Mytilus edulis: one gene and its partner. The protein of the gene in region 2 interacts with the protein of the main gene of each other region in a biochemical or structural test. Links are inferred from orthologs where the notes say so. Each region holds a gene or a part of one and is shown on either strand. Other genes may lie near its edges.

Region 1 (4,507 bases), on a different chromosome or scaffold from region 2:
GTTACGACGCAAGGAACATATCCGATATCATTTGTGAAACGGTTATTTCATAACGGTCAACCAACTCGTGATGGCGTCCGTAAAATTTACGAAGGGATGACTTCAACTTCACTATTTGGAACTCTTGGTTTAATAGCTTCCATGTGAGCAGTAACCCTCTATCAAGAAAATCATGATAGGAAATGCAAGCACGGGAGTATCGTATCAATTGGGAGATATATACATTGTACCCCGTATGCAGGTGCTGCTGGAATGTTGCTACTTAGAAATGGAAAGTTCACAATTGGAAAGCTGATTAGAAGTGATGGAATTTTTATAAATGAAATTTTAACTTCTCAAATTACTTAGTTTCAGTGATTTTGAAAAGTCTGTGAAAATATTAAATATTTCACAGCCAAAATCTAGTCAAAATAATTATTCGTCTTGAAAGGCTATTATATTTTTTTGCTTTGACACCTTACATACAATGTACATGCCATAGACGTAAGGCGTCAAAGAAAAAAAATATAATAGCCTTTCCAGGCCTCGACAATAACGCTTGTCCGATTGTCCGGTACCAGAGGGAAAAAAAGGTTGGACAAGTAAAAGCTGTACCAAGCTTGTCCGTCGGGACAAGTTCAATTATTCTGCAGAAAATAAATTTTAATAATCCAACTTTGATGAACAAAGTAAAATTTTTATTAACAAAAAACAAGAAAACAAATAATAATTTGACATGTTTCTGTATTGTGTTTATTCAAATGCAAAACCATTTTCTTCAACATGTTTTCTAACTTGCAATCAATAATTTTTAACTGGTTCTTTGTCAGGTATATTTTCAAAGGTAAATGGTATACTATTCTTTGAAACCAGTCTTACTGATCCGAATCAATGATGTGCTTTGTAGATAAGGTAACTTTACAGGGCAGTTTGTCACCTCGACAGGTTTTACGTTAGCTCCAAGTTTAGTAGACAGTTTGGCTCCGTAGGACATGATTGATAGACAGTTTGGCAAAGACAGGAGACATTTCGAAACCAAGACAAATCAGTACCTCATTTGGCTACCTTATTCTGTTCCTTATAATACATACCATACCCGTATTTTTTTTCACCATAAAATTCAAAAAATCATATTTGATCATAAGTAGAAAAAACAATACGTTCAATATAGTGACCTATAGTTGTAAATTTCTGTGTCATTTGGTCTCTTGCAGAGAGTTTTCTCATTGGCAATCAGACCTTATCTTCTTTTTATTGATGGCATTTAACATGTTTGAATAAATTTTTTTCAACTTAAAAAAAACAGGATACAAATTCAATGAGTGCACAGGCCTATCAGATTGTGCCTCATGTGCAGAGTCTGATGAGACTTGCATTGATAAAAAGTAGAACCTAAGTCCTGTGACATGACTAGATTCAGTTGTACTTGACTCATAGTTTTGCAAAGTATTTCAAAAGAAATACATCAAATGCTATTCTATTGTTTATTGTCGTTTTGTCCCTTTATTCAACTTAAGGTGTAAAAAGGTTATTTTTAAATAAAAAAATTGGACAAGTAATAATTTCATTTGGACAAGTAAGGGAGCTACCATTTGATTTTTATGGGGGACTTGTTTACATGTAAGTAAGTCCCCTGACTGATAACACTTGAAATTTAAATATAAGCAGATATTGGTGACTTTCAAACATTGATTATTAAATTATAATACATTATCGATGTATTTTATAACTTAAAAATGATTTCAAGAAAGAAATTGAATTTATAAAGATCGTTTAAAATATAGTGTGTACATCCAACATGGCGGCCATTGTGTTTTCCGTGGTCACCACTAAATTGTAAAAGTTCTGTATGAACTCATCCTGTTTTTTTGTTTGTGCTTAAAGTGTTTAAGTTTGCATGTGCTACTCTTATATAAATACTATGTGCTACTATATATGTGCTGATATTAGACATTTGTTTTAATATATCTTGCTTAGCTTTTATTCTGCATGTGCTATCTATGTATTAATATGTATATATATGTGATGTCTGTATGTTTGTGATGTCTGTATGTTTGTGTTGTATGTGTATCTGATGTTATTACATGTATGTTTTGTTTATTAATATCAGTCGGTTAAAGAGCTCTTAAGAGCTCATGTTCTTTGTTATTATGTATATATGCAACCCGATTTTAAATAAAGATTACTTTACTTTACTACTCCTGTAAATCATTTTATAGCTATAAAATGATAAAATACAGCGATGGTATACAATTATTTAATAATCAATGTTTAAAAGTCATCAATATGTGATAATATTAAAATTTCAAGTGGTATTCGGTCATTACAAGTGTTATTCTGTTATTAATTATGGTGCACATTTTGTGCCTTATCATGCTTATACATGTATGCTTGTTAAAGTACCACCCCTGACTGTTAAACTTTACAACTTATCACAAACATACTGACAGTGACATACATAACATCAGAATAAAACATAAAAATCAGTTGAAACATTTGCAGATTTTAACCATAAGATACCCTTTTTTCCACAGTTTGCATACATGAATTATTTGAAAATTGTGAATTACGCGCTTGTAACAGATCTATCCGTTCATCCTTGGACCAACAGGATATTCCATATGGTGGAGATTTAGATAACATTTCTAGTTCCTTTTTCATTCTTCCTGATCTTTGCATATTGCTGATCAATGTTTCTTAAATTTTGGTAAAAATCAAACAACCCGCAATTTTTTTAACCGGAAGTTGTATTTGACTAAAATTGGAAACAAATGCGGAGCAAGACGATGGTCATTTCGTACCTTCTATCCTACAACCTTTCGTACCATGATCAACACAATTTCACTGATCAATTAACTAAATAACATAATCGTCTTGTGAATCGCTAAAAAATATACTCCTTTCTGCTATATCACTGCTCCCGCAAATAAGTGATTTATATAGACATGTTTTTTTGCCAGCCTTCAAGGATCTTCAAGTATTTCAGATTTTTCTTCAGACTCATGATATGAAGTCAGAACTCAAATTTTGATTGCAACTAAAGTCAGATGACATGTTGATACAGTCTGGTGTTAAATTAAGGAGGAACACGTAGAAACCATTAAATGGTTGCAAATTCATGTTTAGACAAACCTAGGCCGAGTGGTAAACCTAGTGATGTTTTTTAGTAAATTATCTTTTCTTTGTGTTCAGTGTTTACAGGTTGATATTTTGTAACTCCATTCCTCTATAAATATTAAATTATTTTGCAAGACAAAACAAAAACACAAAAAGAAAAGCACTGGTTTGTAACACTTGTAAAGTATTTGAAGGTGGTTGGATGTTACTTTTGATTTAAAAACTTATAGGATATTTTGATTGAAATGTACGTAGGCCTATAGCAAAAATGTCGATTTTAATATGCATGGTTTGCTTAACGTGTATTAATTTTTTTTAAAAGAAGACATGATTTGTTAGAGACTTAATTGTAAAAAAAATATGCATGCAGGCTTTCCTTAGGTAAAACTTTTCAATGAAAGGCATCTTCTTCTTCTTCTTCCAGGTAAGGAACCGAATTCAAATCTTGAATGTATGAGGTCCCGCGAAAACTAAAGCAATGTCGGACAACACAGAAAGTTTTCTCTTGGCTATTTACAGGATAAAACGTTCTCTATCATAGGCGGAACCAGGGGGGCTGGGGGCCCGGCCCCCCCCCCTTTTGTGGGAAAAATTTGGTTGATTATATAGGGAATCATTGAAGCATGACTGGAGTGGGGCCCCCCTTAGGTCAGTCAGCGGGCCCCCCTTAGGAAAAGTTCTGGATCCGCCACTGTCTATATATATACAATTAAAACTATGTACAGGATGTTACTGTCTAAATGTTAGCAGAGCATGCCTTCAGGACAGCTCTGAATCCATCAACTGTGTCAGCTGATGTTGCGGATGTTGGCAGTTGGTTCCAGTCTCTAATGGTCCTTGGAAAAAATGATTGGCATATTTTTTTTTAATAGTTTTTTTCTTTGAAACTGCATTTTTTTCTATTCTTAAATTATATACTAAAAATCTTACTTGAAAACCGGCAAAATAGCAAAACTCTAATATAAATCACTATTTAACCCGAGCGGGAAAAACAGTCCTAAGGATGCTATTTTTGTCGCAGCCGGTTAAATAGTACCTTAGATGCTACATTGCGGGAACCGGCAAAATAGCCACTACTTTTTGTTCAACATGTCCACTGCAGTTTCAGACTCTTTTTCTTTTTTTAATTGGGGGGGGGGGGGGTCATTTTTAACTATACTTTAGTTTTTGTCCATTATTTTCTATGTCTGCTCCTAATTATCTGGGTTTTAGATCTATTCAGAAACCCTACCTATGCCAACATGGCCAATGCAGACTTTCATTGTATGCTTATGTAGTGTATACAGAGGAGTGTAATTTATATATGGTGTTGTGATATATATTATTGTTTTTCAAGTTGTGTCACTATCAGATAAAGTATTACTTGTTATCGTCATAAATCAGAAAACATACATGTTATCGTTATGCACCA
Region 2 (4,507 bases):
CAAAAATTAAGAATCTGAATACACGGTTAGATTTGGCATATCAAAGAACCCCAATAATTCATTTTTTGATGAAATCAAACAAAGTTTAATTTTGGACCCTTTTGGCCTCTAATTTGTTGGGACCAAAACTCCCTAAATCAGAATAATTAGATTTCTAATAAAGTTATTGTGCAAAAAACAAGAAAATGCTTATTTGGGACCTGTTTTTGGCCCCCAATTCCTATACTGTTGGGACCAAAACTCCCAAAATCAATCCCAACCTTCCTTTTGTGGTTATAGACATAATTTTAAACTTCATAGATTTCTGTTTACTTATACTAAAGTTATTGTTCGAAAACCAAAAAAAATGCTTACTTGGGCCCTTTTTGTCCCCTAATTCCTAAACTGTCGGGACCAAAACACCCAAAATCAATCCCAACCTTCCTTTTATGGTCATAAACCTTGTGTCAAAATTTCATAGATTTCTATTTACTTTTAATAAAGTTAGAGTGCGAAAACCAAATGTCATCCGACTACGACGACGACTACAGACGATGGCGCCAACTTGATACCAATATACGACCAAAAAATTTTCAATTTTGCAGACGTATAACAATAGTTAACATTGGTTTTATCCGCAGCACAAGATTTTTAAAGGGCGGCAAATAATATCACGTACCAGTAAACTCAGGTGATCTTTCTGGACGACCGTGGGAAAATTCATTCAGGTTTAAAAGTTGCAGAAAGACATTTTTGTGCGTTTCTATTGAGGCTCCACAAGGTCCTTTAACAATTGATTAACTACACAAAATGTATCTAATCTAAAATATAATTCTTTTCCGAATAAACAAAAACACATCTTCTTTAGCTATTTAATTTTTTATATTATCGGTCAAAACAGGACATAGACCTGAACATTAGTTATACGTCCATGGTCAATAATATAAATTTATGGTTGATGAAAAATTGAAATTATGATGAGATATTGAACGGGGGAATCAATTGTGATCAAATGACAAAAATATGATAAAAAACTGCCAACTGTGGGCAATTTAGAAATTTTGAAAATGAAACGCTGACTGATTTAACTGGAATAGTTACCAAAGGTACCAGGATTATAATTTAGTACGCCAGACGCGTGTTTCGTCTACATAAGACTCATCAGTGACGCTCATATGGAACAGAATATTATGATGGGCAATTGAGGTTTAATAATATTTAAAGGATTAGTGACCTATCGGATGGCGATAAGCAGATTACTTATCACAACTTTTAACATCTTTTGTAAACGTTCAATGGCTGAGTGTCATAAACTTGTCAAAAACATGAAGGCAGGTAAAATTATAGTAATTTAATGCGATATATTTTTACATTTTCAAAACTTAAATGACGCAATTGATATAAAATACTTTCGTCAATTTGAAAACCGTTTCGTAAAATACGAAAATGACGAACACTAGCAAAATCACTTGAAGTTATTCCAATTGTTCAACAGAGTTGTCACTTTACAGTTTCTTTTCTTAATTTTAATTATTCAAGTCTGTATAAATGTATCGAGGTGGTGAAACATAATATTTTACATTGCTCAATAAATTGAGTTTAAATAAATTTCTTCATTTTTTTTTTGGTAAAATTATTTCAAAGATAATGACATGGGACAAAAACCTGTAAGATAATAATTATTTTATTCTAAATTATAATTTCACATCTTTATCTGACAAAGGAAGGAAAACATTTGTTAAAAAATTTTAATACCGTGATTTTATAGCACACCTGTGCAATCAAGATCGATTAAATGTACAAAATGTACATAGGTAAATTATCTGGCTAATCCAATTATGTTGTTACGCCTTGTTAATTTTTAGTACATCCGATGGGCAATAAACCAATTAACAGCCACGCGGAGTTGGGAGAGAATCTTTGCAGGAATTAGGGAGTGAAATCCGCGGTACTCTGTGTGGCTTCAAAAAACTCGGAAATCGAATCGATCCGTTTGAATGGTACTGTGTGTATGTAGATCCCTCGGTTTAAGGAGCACCCCTTGAGAGCTGCATACATGTAGGCACAGTGGAATCTGTGTTCACTCCCTATCGGGATAAATGAAGATGTGTCACTAACATGTTTACAACAATATTTACAAAGACAATTCCCACCCAAACATGAGGGAGTGTTTGGACACAGGGCAGAATCTGTTATTATGGTGGAGAAAGCCGAAGAACTCTGTAAGTACCACCGGGCTGCATGGCAGAAAACAGTACCGAAAAGATATCCGCAGATTGATCTCCAGATCAAATTCCAGAGAAACTTTGACCAACTAAGGCCTCCTAATTACCTATTCTAGATTTTACTACGGTCTGGGTACCAGAGACAGAGATATGTGTCAGAGGGTTAAAATCACCACTGTTGTACTGATATTTTAACACCCTAGACAAACTCAGAACCTTCAGCACTGTACACATCAGTCTAAATAACTAGACCACGAACTTACATATATAATAGGAGATGATAACAAAAAATAGTTGTTTTTATAATTTGGACCCAAAAAGCTAGAAATTTTTAATAGCACAAACCAAATATTTTGAATATGTTATTAGTCATGAAAAAGGGACTCAACCTTCATCTTCATAACAAAAATACTTGATTGAAGTGTATAACTGTCAATATGCTTACATTATGCAGCTTGTATCAGAAACAAAGAGCTAGAAACTGCAAAATAAAAAACATTTCCAAAGGGAAATCACTCCAGATTAACCGGAAGTTGTGAAAGCCCAGCGGAAAATTAAAAAATATAAATATTGTCATCCCGAACTTGGCTCTGATATCTCGTAAAAAAACTCATAATTATTTCAAAGGACTCAAAGGCCCTATTTCAAATTTCTTGAATAGTTTAACGAAAGAAACGAATAATTTTAAAACTATGTTAAGTAGTTGCAGACATATAGTAAAATTGTATAGACAAGCACAAAAGCCAGAATTAAAAAAAATCCTCAGGTATTAGTAAATTGCATAAACGATTTTTATTATTATTTCCTTATTATTCATGTAACAGAAAATAAACCCAATGAACATTTATAGTTACTCATATTCATAAAAGGTTATTCGACATGAAATACTTCAACTTAATACCTGGTAGATCTAATAGATCAAATAATAACCCTTCTTGAGCCTCTCAATATTAAACCGGAAGTTGACATTATAAAATCAATAATAGATTATCTTTTCTTGAATTGTCATTTCGCTGCTGACCATGACATCATCGAGAATAAAAGGACAATAATAACAGAGAATATAGTATGAAAATGGTAATTACAATTAATTGTTAGCGAATTCTTGTTTTAAAGCACCAGAGCTGCAACACTGAAGTCAAAACGAAGTTGAAGTACTGTAAAAATCAGACTGTCACAAATTATAAACATAAAAACCACTGAAGAAATTATGCATATGTACATCCGTTTGGTTTTCATTGACATGTTTATAATTACAAATAGACATGCTTTACAAATACACTATATTAATTATACGTTTTAGTTTGAAAACAGATATTGTGTGACTATTCTCAAAGGTCCTTCAGTTTTACTGTGCATCATGACTCATGTGCATTGATAACCAATAGCGACATTTGAATTATAGTTATCCCGTACCATTGTAAACTCGTACCAACGTCAACTCGTACCACTAAAAAAAAACTCGTACCAATGCAAACTTGTGTAACCGGAGGGGTTTTTACGTTGTGTATTTTCTGTGTCAACTTTAACATATTTTTACCCCAGACCGTGTAAAGAGTAGGTATAGGAATCCTGAGTCTCTGATCCTTCATATTTGGCTTTGCAAAACTTAACACTAGCAAGTTTTCATAGTTTATTAGCAAATTACATATAATTCCACAAATATCAACAATTTGTAAAGATAAAACATGAAACATGAATATGAACAACAAGTTAAAATTCACATACAGTTTAAAAGTGACATAGCTTAATCTGTCATTTTAACCTTTGTCTAGCTAAATGCATTATAATTCTAGACACAACAGCGACATTGTGTCTAGATACTGTGAAATGCATTACACCTTTCGTGTTGACAACACCTTTCGTGTACACAGTGAGCAAGGTCTGTGCAAGACCATCTAGACAATGAAGTCTGTGCCAGACCTTTCGTGTAAATAGTGACTGAGGTCTGTGCAAGACCAGTTAGACATCGAGGTGTGCAACACCAGTAAGCTCTTACTAAAAAGCTAAAATAAGAGGTCGTTTTATCAACCAAATGGCTTATGAAAACAAGCCCCGTACAATTATTTAAATTATCAGTTATTTAATAAATACTATTCAAATATGAACACTCTATAACTAAACTGTAAGTTGCAAATTCAACAAAATATGAGAATAAATTCAATGAGTTATAGCACAATAATGTAACTAAATGTATAAACATGTTAAACAACAATTTTTATCAATAATTCATATTAACAATAGTAATTAAATGTTAATTTTACAACAGTCCATTTTAAAGGGACATAATTCTGTTCCAAAAC

Evidence for each region. The genes of interacting proteins can lie anywhere in the genome.
Region 1: the proteins of ubiquitin-like modifier-activating enzyme 6 (region 2) and ubiquitin-conjugating enzyme E2 T-like form a complex in vitro, tested with the Homo sapiens proteins (2 studies listed by BioGRID, with this or other methods). The link is inferred for Mytilus edulis from reciprocal best matches to the Homo sapiens genes UBA6 and UBE2T.

What each region holds. Positions count from the first base shown.
Region 1 is NC_092350.1:70,529,789-70,534,295, forward strand, and holds the start of ubiquitin-conjugating enzyme E2 T-like, read right to left. Parts: upstream 2,726-4,507; 5' UTR 2,659-2,725; coding exon 2,550-2,658; intron 1-2,549. UniProt on the Homo sapiens protein: Accepts ubiquitin from the E1 complex and catalyzes its covalent attachment to other proteins. Catalyzes monoubiquitination. Involved in mitomycin-C (MMC)-induced DNA repair.
Region 2 is NC_092347.1:10,919,991-10,924,497, forward strand, and holds the start of ubiquitin-like modifier-activating enzyme 6, read right to left. Parts: upstream 2,761-4,507; 5' UTR 2,650-2,760; intron 1-2,649. UniProt on the Homo sapiens protein: Activates ubiquitin by first adenylating its C-terminal glycine residue with ATP, and thereafter linking this residue to the side chain of a cysteine residue in E1, yielding a ubiquitin-E1 thioester and free AMP.